Diceros bicornis minor: one gene and its partners. Each later gene encodes a partner of the first gene's protein in a complex. Links are inferred from orthologs where the notes say so. Each region holds a gene or a part of one and is shown in the gene's direction. Other genes may lie near its edges. The genes, in order: SF3B5, PPIL2 and SF3A2.

Evidence for each region.
Region 2: SF3B5 (region 1) and PPIL2 share a complex: the UniProt entries of both Homo sapiens proteins name them as parts of the minor spliceosome. The link is inferred for Diceros bicornis minor from reciprocal best matches to the Homo sapiens genes SF3B5 and PPIL2.
Region 3: SF3B5 (region 1) and SF3A2 share a complex: the UniProt entries of both Homo sapiens proteins name them as parts of the 17S U2 SnRNP complex. The link is inferred for Diceros bicornis minor from reciprocal best matches to the Homo sapiens genes SF3B5 and SF3A2.

The regions. Positions count from the first base shown.
Region 1 is NC_080778.1:23,304,636-23,308,524, reverse strand, and holds SF3B5 (splicing factor 3B subunit 5), read left to right. Parts: upstream 1-2,016; 5' UTR 2,017-2,094; coding exon 2,095-2,355; 3' UTR 2,356-2,711; downstream 2,712-3,889. UniProt on the Homo sapiens protein: Component of the 17S U2 SnRNP complex of the spliceosome, a large ribonucleoprotein complex that removes introns from transcribed pre-mRNAs.
Region 2 is NC_080774.1:30,153,649-30,158,449, forward strand, and holds the start of PPIL2 (RING-type E3 ubiquitin-protein ligase PPIL2), read left to right. Parts: upstream 1-1,618; 5' UTR 1,619-1,770; intron 1,771-3,885; 5' UTR 3,886-4,013; coding exon 4,014-4,097; intron 4,098-4,788; coding exon 4,789-4,801. UniProt on the Homo sapiens protein: Has a ubiquitin-protein ligase activity acting as an E3 ubiquitin protein ligase or as an ubiquitin-ubiquitin ligase promoting elongation of ubiquitin chains on substrates.
Region 3 is NW_026691553.1:1,554,187-1,558,987, forward strand, and holds the start of SF3A2 (splicing factor 3A subunit 2), read left to right. Parts: upstream 1-1,155; 5' UTR 1,156-1,245; intron 1,246-4,801. Other genes in the region: PLEKHJ1 (pleckstrin homology domain-containing family J member 1), read right to left, coding at 189-255, 348-415, 519-612. UniProt on the Homo sapiens protein: Component of the 17S U2 SnRNP complex of the spliceosome, a large ribonucleoprotein complex that removes introns from transcribed pre-mRNAs.

The DNA.
Region 1 (3,889 bases):
AAATATGCATAACAATAATACTTACTGTTGATGGATACACAAACTTTCAGCATTCAAAAAAAAAAAGAGGCTCAGGAATGATTAACTGTAAATTCAAGATAGTACCCTGAAGTGAACAGATTAGGGAGGGGAACACAGAGAACTTCAAGTTTATTTGTATAGTCTTATTTCTTAAAAAAACACAGCCAAAACAAAAGAACAAAGATGGAAACAAAAGTGGCAAAATGGCAAGGTTTGATATATCTAGATGGTGAGTCCACGAGTATGCCTTATAATAGTCTCTACATTTTAGGAATGACATGTTTGTTATAACAAAGGTTAAACCAAAGAATAAAACGTTTGTTTTTTTTTCATTTTTGGTACAAGCATTTGATCCTATAAGGAACATTTTGTCGTTTTCTTTAATTTCTTTTAAATAAAAATTGCATATATTTAAGGTGTACAACATGATGATTTGATATAGTGAAAGGATTACTACATGGGCCAGCCCCGTGGCTTAGTGGTTAAGTGCGCACGCTCCGCTACTGCTGGCCCAGGTTCAGATCCTGGGCGCGCACCTACGGACGGCTTCTCCGGCCATGCTGAGACCACGTCCCACATACAGCAACTGGAAGGGTGTGCAACTATGACATACAGCTATCTACTGGGGTTTTGGGGAAAAAATAAATAAAATTATTTAAAAAAAAAGGATTACTACAGTCAAGCTAATTAACATATCCATTGCCTCACATAGTTACCTTCTTGTGTGTGTATGTGGTGAGAGCACCTGAAATCTACGTTCTAAAGAAATTTCCAGTATTCAACATAGCATTAACTATAGTCATCGTGCTATTTGGTCTCTAGACTTAGCCATCCTACATAACTGCAACTTTGTACCACAATAAAAAATATTTTAAAGTTGTCTTTCTCCCAATAACGAGTTTCTTCTATTTGGCTCTAATACAGCTGTTTATCCGTTCATCAAACGTTTTTTAAGAACGTAATCTCTGCCAGGCTATGAGGATACCCTAAACAGATACCATCAAAGAAGCATACGAGAAAAGATGCCACCAAAAAAGTCAACTCCTTTCCTCAAGCAGTCTGCGTTCGCGTGAGGAAGTCCTTAAACCAAAAATTAGGATATAAAGCGGTAATAACGAAGCGTCCAAGATGCAAAGAGGAAGGAGAATTTACACGTGTGGAGTGGCCAAAGCCAATTTCAAGGAGATGCTTTCGAGCTGACTTCAAGGGAAGAGTGTTTGCCAAGGGAACAAAGACATTCCAAGCAGAGGGAACAGCTTGTACCAAGAACGGGAGAGGCGAGCAGCACGGAACACGGAGAAGCGCAGGTGGGGGCGTGTAGGGCGAGGTGGGGAGTCAGAGGGAGGGTGTCAAAATAAGGAAGGGGGACCCCGATGTGAGGGCCAGAACGCGTCGTAACGGGTCACCGGGCGGGAAACGGCGGCCCTGCTAGCGCTGAATTGACTTGCACTCCACACAACTTCTAAACAACACAGCTGGGACCAGAACCCGCGTCTCCTGATTTCACCTGGTCGTGAAGGGGCTACCGTGCTGTCACGTTAGCTCCAAAAGCAGAATTACACCAAGACTTCATCTTCCCAGTCGCTTGTAGCCCTGTCCTACTTGAATGTCCTACTTCCTCGCAGCCCCAAACCGCCCAAAGATGCTCCCCGCCACCAAGACACCACCCTCCATCAGACCGCCCACAGCCTCCTAAACCAAGGCGATGGGTCCCAAAAGCCCGCGCGCACGAACCCTGGGAGACTACAAGTCCCAGCATGCAAAGCTCCCGGTTAGGAAAAGCGCCGCTAAATGGACCATCATGCAACGCTCTACGAAGGGGGCGGGCTCTCTGTAGGGGCGGCCCGACTTGTAGCGTCGCCTAGGCAACTCCAATCCGGGACGGAATACGCTTCCGCTTCCGCCTCTGAGCCCTAGGACCGCGAGTCCCCGCGGCTCCGTCGTTGTGACGCCATTCGCCTGCGACGGCGCAGTCCTAGAGGTCCGGTGGGGTGTTCATTTTCCGGCGTGAAACGCTAGAGCAGCCATTGCCCGCCGCGGTTTCTGCCTGGGATCCAGCGGGAAGGCGGCGAGATGACGGACCGCTACACCATCCACAGCCAGCTGGAGCACCTGCAGTCCAAGTACATCGGCACGGGCCACGCCGACACCACCAAGTGGGAGTGGCTGGTGAACCAGCACCGCGACTCCTACTGCTCTTACATGGGCCACTTCGACCTTCTCAACTACTTCGCCATTGCGGAGAACGAGAGCAAAGCGCGAGTCCGCTTCAACCTGATGGAGAAGATGCTGCAGCCCTGCGGGCCGCCGGCCGACAAGCCCGAGGAGAACTGAGACCCCGCCGGGTCCCCGCCGGGCGGAGCGTGGCTCCCCGCGTCCCTCCCGTGTGCCGTGGCTCCCCGCGTTCCCGCCCCGGGGCGACCGGTTCTCCGTGGCTGCTGCTCCCCGTGCTTTCCCGGTGCAGAGGCGCTCACCCGCGGCGTCTCGCCCGACCTGCCTTCCTCTGGACGCCTCGGAACAGGGCGTTGGGCGACCGTCAGGACCCCTGGGGACCGCGACCCTGGAGAGATCCCAACGCCAGCCAGCGTTAAGGGGACACGGCACTGCAGCGAGACGGCGTTCGGAGGCTCGTTTTTGGCCGGTTGATTGTCGTTGTTGCCTTTTCCATAAAGTTTAGAAGTTTTTCGGTCTCTTGGTGTGGACTACTTGTGATCGGGTGGAGGGGTCCAGGGAGGGTTTTGGGGACTGTGGTTTCGTGAGAGGGTGGGGTGGGGGTGGGGGTGGGCGCGGGGCCAGGGTACATTGCCAGGCGCTTAAATCCGCCCTGGACAACTTTTATCATATGCCCCCCACCCGCCGACTTCTCCCAAGAGCCTTTTTCAGTCCGGTAGTGCTTTCAGTATTGAGGTTTGTGATCATTGCATCACACCTTTTTGTTCTCTTGTTCAAAAAATCTTTACGGTCATTGCCCTCTACTCTCTCTGTAAATTGCATCCTCTCTACTCTTGGGACTCTCTGGGCGTGTGTTGAGAAATAACAAGCTGTCAAACGAGTTTTCTCATTCATTCAACATTCAACAAATACTTGTCGAGCTCTATGTGGCAGGCATTTTTCCACACTTTGGGGGTTTACATTATACTGGCGGTGGGGGGAGGGGAGGGGGGGCACACAAACTGTAGATGTAAATAAGCAAATGTTAGAAGGTGCTGTGGAGGATGGGAGTAGCGGCAGAGTTGCAATTTTAGATAAGATGCTCATGTTAGACCGTTGAGATGGTGACATTTGAGCAAAGGCCTTAAGGAAGTGAGGGAAGTAGCCATGCAGAAAAGTGGGGAAATTGCTTTCCAGGCAGAAGGAACTGCCAGGGCGATGGTCCTAAAGCTGGGCTTGTGTCTGGCTTATTGGAGGAACAGCAAAGAGGCAAATATGTGGAGAGGTTGAGCAAGGAGAAGAGCAGAGGGACAGGTGATGGAGGGGGAGTGGATGAGAGTAGAGCCTGGTAGGCCAATGTCAGGACTTGTGGCTCTTACCCTGAGAGAGATGGGGAGCCATTGGAAGATTTTTTTTTGCTGAGGAAGATTCGCCCTGAGCTAACATCTATTACCAATCCTCTGCTTTTTGCTGAGGAAGATTGGCCCTGGGCTAACATCCGTGCCCATCTTCCTCTACTTCATGTGTGGACACCTGCCACAGCATGGCTTGGTAAGTGGTGTGCAGGTCTGCACCCAGGGTCTGAACCCACGAACCCCAGGCTGCTGAAGCAAAGTGCAAGAACTTAACCACTATGCCACCAGGCCGACATTGGAAGATTATTAAGTGACGTGATCTCACATGTTTTAGATCAGTGATTCTGAAACATTTTGGCCTT
Region 2 (4,801 bases), on another chromosome or scaffold:
AGGTACATACTAAATACGTTAAAGTCAAGTCTCATTTTGTAAGTCCCACAGGGTCAGGAAGCGGAATGGAGATTTGAACCCAGGTGTATCTAAGTCTACCTGCACCCCTAGACAAACACAAAGGCCAGGCCTTCTTTCTCCTTGGTTGTCCCCACCGTGCTCTCTGACCTCAAAGCAGGAAAAAGTGAGTGCCACCTCCTCTGTTGGGGAGAGCTGAGGCTAGCCGGCTGGTGGTTTGGCGGAGGGAAGTGAAAAATCTCCTTAGACTTCTCAGGAACACTCCATGTATCTCAGGGCTGATGGGGGGGTGGAGGGGACAGGAGCGAGCAGTCCAGGGTGCACCTCCTTCATTAGTGGCAGAGTGGGTGGTGGTGTCAGTGCTGACCAAGTAGGAGAGGGTGAAGAGAAGCAGGTTTTGGGGTTGGAGGGAAGGTTTTGGGGTGTGCCAATCTGGATGTGTTCAGCATGAACGCCCCAGAAACGTCCCTTTAGGACACTCAGATGTGGGTCTGGAGCTCAAGTGAGGTCTGAGCCTGAGACTCAGGTTAGGGTTAGTTAAGTCAGCTCTGGGTTGGGACCAAGAAGTAGGGAAGATTGATCAAGATGGTAGGGTGAAGACAGGACCTTTTGAAACGCATAAGGAGCCGCTGGAGACGCCAGTGAAGAGGCCACAGCGAGTATGGAGCAAAGAAGTGGTTATGAAGGGGAGGAGAGAGGGTAGAAGCTGGAGGGGGCCGGGGGGTTGATGCTGGGAAGTGAGTCAGGAGAGGAAGAGGGTAGAGTCCAGGGATAGAGGAGTTAGGGGCAGAGTGAAGTGCTTGGGGTGCTGTCTACACACGGTGAAGAGGGGAAGCAGCCAGAAGCGGAAGGGACTGGAGGCTGGCCGAGGGGTGAGGGCCTTAAAGAAGTTGGAAGAGTTGGGGTGCGGACCGTGTTCTTGGCGTGGCCGTTGGCCGGCCCTGATCAAAGCTCTGCCGGATCCTAGCGCGATAGGGCCTCCGCCGAGCGCAGCTGCGTTCGCCCCGTCGAAGGCGCGACAGCGCATGCCCAGAGAGGGGGCATTGTCACGTGCGGCCGTCTGGCAGGGAAGGGCCCCGCCCGCGATCTAGGGGGGATTGGCTGGAGCGGTTGATCGCAGAGGGGGCCGGCGGCGGTTGGATGGAGAGCTGGTACGTCTCCGCGGTCCCCGCCCGGACGGGCCCTCTCAGATGGAGGTCCTGGACGAGTTCGACAGCGAGATGCCCCCGAGCGTGACCTTCTGCCAGCGCATCTCCGAGGAGGACTTCGAGAGACAGGCGACGACCTACACCAAGCGCGCGCTGCGCCGCCTCTTCCGCAGCATCGACCGCAACCCGAAGCTGGCCGAGCGAGTGGTGCGCAAGGGCAAGCAGGCCGAGTGCGAGCGGCGCGGGCTCCTCTCCTTCCTCTGGGTGCGGGCCGGCGGGCGGGCTGCGGGGAGGGGGGACCAGGGGGCGGGTGCTGTCATCACTCCCGCTCCTGCCCTGTAGGGCGGAGATTGGGGGTGGGGGGGGCCGTCGGGCCTTCCTGGAGCTGCAGGGTAGGGTCTCCCAGAAGCCTGAGGCGGCCCAGCTTGGGGAGTGCAGCGGGCAGGCGTCTCACCCGTCTGGCGTCCTCCCGCTGCTGTCGCAGGGAAGTTCTGTGCTGTCCAGGGGGAGCTGAACTACTGCAACTGCGTGGGCGCCGGGGAGATACATCGGCGCCTGGAGCAGCTGAGGAGGAGCATCTACCGCGCGCACCTCTACTCCCAGGGTGAGGCCCACCCTGTGTCTGGCTCCAGCAACCCAGCAAACCTGACTCAGGGCCCCTTGTCCCTGGTCCTGTGGTTGGCACTTTTTTCTAAATTTGGTGTTTATTTTAAAAGTCTATTATGAAAATGAACATACACAAAACTAGAGACTGCAGTAAACACGCGAGTACCCTTCACCCAGCATCAGCGGCTGTCCCCATCTCACCGTGCTTGTTTCATTCTCTAGATCCCCTTTTTCTTTTTCTGGAGCATTTTAAGGGAAATCTCAGACATCATTGTATTCCTGAATACTTTATTTATTTATAATTTTATTTATGTATTTATTTTTCCCCCAAAGCCCCAGTAGATAGTTGTATGTCATAGCTGCACATCCTTCTAGTTGCTCTATGTGGGACGCCGCCTCAGCGTGGCTGGAGAAGCGGTGCGTTGGTCCGCCCCCGGGATCCCAACCTGGGCCGCCAGCAGCGGAGGGCACGCACTTAATTGCTAAGCCACAGGGCCGGCCCTCCTGAATACTTTAGAATGCTTCTTAATAAAAAAAAGACAGTTTCTGACATAAATCACGATATTACTGCTGATATAATTGACAACAATTCCCTAATATTAGCTGATACTTACTTAGTCCATAGTCAGAACTCCTGGATGGTCCACAAAAATCTTTCTACACTTGGTCTGTCGTGTCAGGACCCAACAAGGCCCACATGCTGTGTTCATGTTAGGCCTCTTAGGTTCTTTCTCACTAGGGTGACCATATAATTTGTGTCCACATCGGGGCACTTGTAAGAGTGAAATGCAAGGGGGCCATGTTAGTGACCACACAGGGATGGCAAACAAGGATCTGTGGCCAGGTCTGTGGAAGTCCCTTTGAAGTGAGATACCCTTACTTTCCCTCTCATGCCACTGACTCAAAGATCTGTGTTGTCCTTCGGGGTATCCCACTTCATGGGTTTAGATCTGCTGTCATAGTCCACTGGTGGTGTTTGCTTTGCTCCCCTCTGCCTGTATTTCTCAGACAGTGGCTCTGAAGCCTTGATCTGATTCAGGTTCAGTGATAGACCACAGCAGTCCTGGGGCTACTTTCTTCTCCATCCCATTGGGAGGCCCAGCTTACTTGGGGGTCCCCCTTTCTGTGATGCTGGGTGTGAGTGCTCCACGTCACCATTTCATCTGACGGCTGGTCCTACAGCACACGTAGCTCTTACCCGAGGTAGCATTAGTGTTATTTATCCTTGTTTTGTAGAAGAGGAAATAGAGGCCCAGGGAGGTTGGCCAACGTGCAAGGTCACATAGTAAGTAGGAGAGTCTGGACTTGAACTCAGGTCTGGGTGCTCCAAGGCGCAGTCTCTTAGGCCAGTGCTCCCTGGTGGTGGTGATTGTCACTCTAGGTGAGCCACTCTGATGGGCTGTATGAGGAGCTTGTTAACACCCACTTTGCTGGTAGTCTCCAACTTTGAACAGTAGAAATAGCCAGACTCGTCAAATCCAGGAGGGAGACCTAACACGGAGGGAAGAGAGGGGGCTCACTCAAGAGTTCTGCCCCTCAAAGATTCCCTCCCTGAGCCCACCTCTGCAAGACCTAGTTCATGTGGGTTTCCTAATAGAGGAAGGGCCCTTTGCACACCCCCAGGATGGCCCTGGGGCTGGGTGTAGTCAGTGCGCTCTCTGTCTAGGGCCTGGATGCTCCATGAGGGTGCTGGCAGACTCAGGAGCTTTCCGTGATGCTTGGGGGGTTGGGTAGCAGACCAACCTGCCTGGGCCAAGCCCAGCCCTCGATGGCTGTGACACTCTGTCACTTCCTATGAAATTCTGGCCTTGAAGTCAGACAGCCCAGGCATGGATCCTGTGTGTGTCTTGTACAGTTAGAGCTTCCGGTCCCGCTTGTAAGATAGAAACAAAAGTACCCTTTCCCCGTGGGATAGTTGTGGGCTCGGTGAGGTGATGCTTGTTGGCGCCCATCGACAGCGGCTCCAAGCATTGTTATGTGGTGCCCTTTGGCGGGGGCCTACCTCTCTTCCTTGTTGGAGGGACTGTGTGAAGACCCCACACCACTGTGTTTGGCCCGCACTCTATCCTATTCTGGCCATGGAGTAGGCACTCATTGGCACCTTTTGTCACAGATGCCAAGAAGAGGAGGAAGCGGAAGTTGAAAAAACCAGAACCCATTCTCTTGAGGCACCGGTCAACCTCCCTGTGTCTGCCACCAACCCTGGTGCCACCTCTGCCACTGCCACCACCTGCCACCACCATGGCCTCCGAGGTGGCTCCATCGCCTTCTGTCTGCACTATGCCCAGGGTTTTTGGTCCTTACAATCCGCTGCCCTGCAGGTTGGTCAGTGGGCACATCCCCCACTCTGTGCGGCCCTGGGAGGGACCGCCTCTGCCCTCTGCTCAGAACCACCCCAGCAGCTCTCCCACACCCACAACAGTGGCTCTCAGAACTTTGTTTTAAGCAGGAGAACGCTCTGCAGGGTTGAGTCTTGAGTGGAACTGCACCAGATAAAGCAGATAGGAGGGGGCTGCTCTGGTTGGAGAATTGGGGTGGGGTTGAAGGCACAGCTCCACCTGCTTGGCCTCAGCCGAGCAAGGTAGCCCCAAGCGTACCGGGCAGAATCCTGGGGCTCCCAACATACAGGTAGAGAACCATGCCCCCCATGTCTCCAGTCCCACACCCTTAGCCCCACACCCACCTCTCCCTGTGGATGTCATTCTCCATGCCACCTCTAAGTGCCTCCCTAATGCCCTTCCGAACCACCTGCCCCTCCTGACTCCTGCTTATTCTACACTCTCACTGCAGGCAGCGCCCCAGCCCCCAGGCTGGGTTAGGACCTCTTCGGTCAGCTCCCAGCTCCCATCCCGTCCCTTGTCCCCCTAACACCAACCTCAGGGTGGACACTGAGGATGAGCCTGACGTATTTGCTGATTGAATGAAAGTCACATAGTTCTCAGAGTTCTTGTGTAAGGTGTTTTTCTTCACGGTGAGGCCCCCAAACTTGTCCTGAGATTTCTTTTGTTTCTTGCAGATGGAGAAATTGG
Region 3 (4,801 bases), on another chromosome or scaffold:
GAGGTGGCGTTCGGGGTGGCAGCTCGGAAGTGGCTGGGACAGGTGTGCCCAGCCTGGGACCCCAGGGGAGGAGCGCAGGGGAGGCGCCCGGCGGGCCCGGCGGACTTTGTTTCTGGGGCGCGGCCGGGCGGAGCTGGGTCTCGGCGGGCCTCGTCCCCGCCCCCCCGCACTCAGTGATGGACACTCACTGATGGAGAAGCCGCTGGGCTCTTCCTGGGCGACTCTGCAGTGCTCCAGCAGCAGGGCTCCGACGGGCTGGGGGCAGACGCGGCGATGGGGGCAGACTGCGGGGAGCCCGACCCGGATCCCTCCCCTCCCCTCCCCAGCTCCCCCCCCCGCCGCCCTACCTCGGCCTCATCCGTCCGGAAGTAGAAAAGGAAATTGACCACCAGCTTCACCAGCCGCCGCTTCACCACTGCGGGCACAGGGCGGGCTCGCGCGGACTCGGCGGGCTCAGCGGCCGGCCTCCCCGCCCCGGCCCGCCCGGCCCGCCCGCCCCGGCGCCCCGGCCCGCTCACCGCTGCCCTTCTTGGGGCCCCGCATGCCCAGCTCGGCCGCCAGCTCGGCCGGCTGCCGGGACAGCGCCTGCAGCTCCTTCTCGTTGAAGCGCATGGCGCCGCTGGGACCCAGGACGCGGAGCCCAGGCTGCGCCCTCTCGGCCGCCGTCCCCGCTCGCGCCAGAAAAGTCCCACGGCGCCGTCCCGGAAGCGCTCCCGGAGCTACTGCGTCTGCGCGCCCCCGGGCCGCTTATCCTGTCAATCATCGGTGCGTGGCCCTGACGTCACCCGGCCCACCGCGGCCGAGCGAAGCCGTCGTGGGCCGCACGGGATAGTGGGTGAGACGCACCGTCGTTATATATAACCATGAAGTAAGCTAGGCCCGCGTGGCAACAGAATAAAGCACCCCCACGACTGCTGGCACCCTTTACTGAAGCGGACAGGAGAAGGCAGATGTTGGGCGAGTCGCAGCCCTTCCTCCCGCGAGAACTGGCCTCGCGGGAATTAGAGGCGACCCAGAGGGCGTCGAGAGCCTGGTGCGCACGCGCACTTCGGGAACCGGCCCGCACTCTCAGCCCCGCCCTTTTCCCCTCGCGCCTCCAGAGCGTCCCGCCCACGTCGCCGGCGGATCGGGCATGCGCACACGGGAGGCCCTGCTCCGTTTGCCCCCGGAAGTGCTTCCTTAGCCCTTGGCGCGCGTGCGCAGGACGAAGTCGTGGCGGCCCCCGCGGCGGCTGAAAAGACAACGGTATCTCGTTGTCGGGTGCGGGTAAGGAGCGGCGCGGGGCGAGGGCGGCGGCCCCGGGGCCCGGGGTTCCCTGGAGGGGAGCGGACGTGGGCGAGGCGGGCCTGCGGCGGGGGGGCGCGGGTTGAGGGCCGAGCGGCCGCGGCGGCCCGTGCCCGGGGATGTGGGGCCTCAGCGTCCCGGGCGCCCCCTGCCCGTCGGAGCTCTCCCTCCAGAGGCCCGTGGGCCCTGGGAGCTCCAGTTCCCGTAACTGTGGGATCGGGGGCGCGGCGGTCCCCGCTCCAGGCCAGCTGAGGAATAAGCGAGGTTTGGGGGCAGAGTGCCCAGCCCCGCGTCGGGGGCGACCGGAGACCGTGAGCCCGCCCCGTTTGGCGAGCGAAGCCCGAGCTTAAATGACTCGGATGCCCGCTTCCTCCTTCTTCCCTTTGGCCGCGCAGAACCCCCGAGAGGAGCCGCCGAAAGTGTTCTGTTGGGCAGGTTTACGGGGATAGTAGCGTGCTCATCAAGAACTGTCATTCATCCCTGTTCCCTGGTCCCTCCCCAGAGGCCACGCCTTTAGAATTCTGGATGCTTGGCCTTAATCTTTGTAAAAAACTTAATTTTTTCTGAGTGTGTCGGTTTTAGACGTGACCTGCTGACTTTCTACCGTGATTGATGAGATTATTTCTGCCTCCCACCCACTCGCTCCAACGTCGCCTTCCATCCCTTGAACGTGTTTATAGAGCCTGAGCTTTAGCGAAATCATTAGTCCTGTATTTTAAAACCGAAAATATTAAGATGTTCATCTGTGTCATTTTCCTTGTTCTGTTTTTCCCCAAAAACTCATTAATTTTTTAATAATTTTTCTTTCAAAACTCCAACACCGCGCACACGTATTTTTGCGCAGTTGTGAAGAGCATGTCTTGGTAGCTTTTAAGAAATCCGTTGACTGATTTGAGTTCTTGGTTATCTGAAAATGGCTTTATGTATTCTCAGAGTTAGAAGTTCGGGTATAAAATTCTAGATTGAAAATCCGTGTGGAGAATTGTGGAAAGCGTTGCCTGCCTTACTGAGAGGTCTGGTCCCATTCGGGCTTCTGAACTTTTATTTCTAGCTTTGTTTCTGTGTCGTAGAAACTTAAGGGTTTTCCTTGCTGTTGTGAAGTTTCCTGATCTGTTTATTGAGGATCTGTTTATTTGTTGACCTGGGTGGGTCTGTTTCCTTGGAAGAATTAGGTCCTTTCAGTCCTGGGTTTTTTCGTTTCTTTGAACACATTCTCATGTTCTCTGTGTGATAACACTCTCCATGCTTCTTTCTGTTCTTCTTCTGGAATTTCATCTAGGTTCTTGTTCTGTCTCCTGTTTTTTCATTATTTGGTTCTCCCTTAGGAAATATTTTTTTAATTCTTATCTCTGAGCCCCGTGTTCCATTTTTTGGGGGGATCATCCGGTCTTTACTGTCCAAGGATTCATTCTGGTTTTGCTTCGCCTTGCTAACCTTTGGCATCCTGTTCTAGGGTCACGGTGCAGTAGATAACTTCCCGGACAGTTCAGGAGAACGTTAACGTTTCCTATTGAGATTTCATCAGGTTTCTGCTTTCTTGGCGACACAGCGATCCTTCGTGTCTGTATTGTCAAGTTGCCCGCTCTGCGGGTAGAGCCCAGTTTCTCACCTAGGGAGTCTCCCTGCTCCGTGGGCCCGGTGGGGAGCTGGTGTTTTCTTTGGGGCGTGGGGGACCCTAGCTGTCAGTGTCTGAGAATGCTTTCTCTGGCACTCTTTCCCCAGAAGAGACTCCTGCTGTCCCCTGGGCTGGGGGCTCCGGGCTGGGCCTCCCGCTGTCTGGACCTGGTGTGGGGGAGCTGCTGTTCCGTGGGCGGGTTTTGATGGAATCCCCTCTTTTCAGCCTGGCGCTCCCCCAGCTCTCTTGTCCCACTGTGTCCACATCTCTAAGCCAGGAGGCCCTTCATTCCAATTCTTCTAAGAATAAAACTGCCCTGCCCAGGGAGTCGAGGGTGCCTGGGTCTGTGACCTTTCTCTCATGGCAGAGACTCTCATTTCAGTTGCGGGGGGGGGGGGGGCGGGGGGGGGTAGCGTGTGTTCAGGGAGCTGTGAGTAACCAGCACTTTCAGTTTCCGATGGTTACTGGTTTTCACTCTCATTTGGTGAGCGGTTACGGATTTGTTTGGGTTTCCTGAGCCCATCAGCTTCTCTCAGCAGGTGCTTTCTGCGACCCCTGGCCCCCATGCGCATTTCCCGGCCAGCCTCCGGGACTGAGGAGCCCAGTCTGGCCGCTTAGGAAGGAGTTGGGCTCATCCTCAAACGGATCGGAGCTGTTGGCTTGGTTAACCTTGTTGCCTTCCAACTCACTTTTCCAGCTCCTCCCAGCCATTGTTCCAGGAGAATGTTCTGAAGGTGTCACTAACGCATGACAGGAACAGGACATCAGCAGACAGGTGGCTCTCTGTCCCGGCCCCCGCAGTGGTGCCGCGGGTCCCTCTGAGCTCCTGCCCTCGTTCCGAGAACACTCGTTGTCGTTGGTTGGTTGGTGTGATGACAGCCGTCCTGACTGTGTAGGGTGGTGTCTCACTGCAGTTTTCACTCGTGTTGCCCTGATGGTTCGTGACGTTGGGCACCTTTCCTGTACCTGCCAGCTGGCTGCTGAGTTAGTCAGAGCACACTCCCAGCCTCAGAGGCCCCCGTCCTCAGTGTTTGGGGAAGCGCCGTCCTCTCCCGGCCCTGGGAATCTGCAGGGGAGGCCTGCAAGTCACTCACCGGAGGGAGCCGGCTCCGGGCCCCCGGATTCACGCTCTGGGTAGAGGCTAGAGGGCAGGTAGTGCCTCTCGGCTCTCACATGCACTCCCCCTGTGCCAGCTTCCCGTCCCGAGGCCAGCAGGGAGGGTGGGGTTTTGCCCCTCGGGGGTGGGCAGTGCTCAGCCCGTGAGCTGCTGGACAGACGGCACGGCCTCCCCTGAGGGGCCTGCACTCGGATCTGGCCACAGAATCACTGAGTTCAGGGCCAACTGGCTGGCAGCCCCTGTAGGTGACGGGTGCGGGCTCCCTGGGCTCATCGATATGGCCAGGCAGGAGGGTTCCTCCGGGCCGTGCTTGCGTTCTGGCGCAGGGCTGTGCTGGTATCGTGTCCTCCTTTTTCCATGTTGAAATGTTGTTTATGAGATGAGGCTGATGGTTGAGAGGGGTTGTCTCTCACGCTTTGCCTGATAAGATTTAATGATTGGCAGCTCTGAATGGACTTGAGTGAAGTCAGAAGTCTCACTCTTTGGTGGGGTGACCCCATGATTCTGCAGCCAGCTAGAAGGTCGCTTCGCTGGTTCCCACACGTGCGATTTTCATAAGCTTGTCAAGGGAATAAGAACTGGGCCAGGGAGGAGTCTAGGCCCCCGTAGAGTTGGGGGCGACTGAGGTCATTGGCACGGCTGGCCTGTACCCCGTGTGTTAGATTCCTGTGGCTGCTGTAGCAAATCACCACAAACTTAGTAGTTTCAAACCACACACATGTATCATTTCACGTTCTGGGGTCAGAAATTCTGAATCCAGCTTCGGGGAGGGCTGTCTTCCCTGA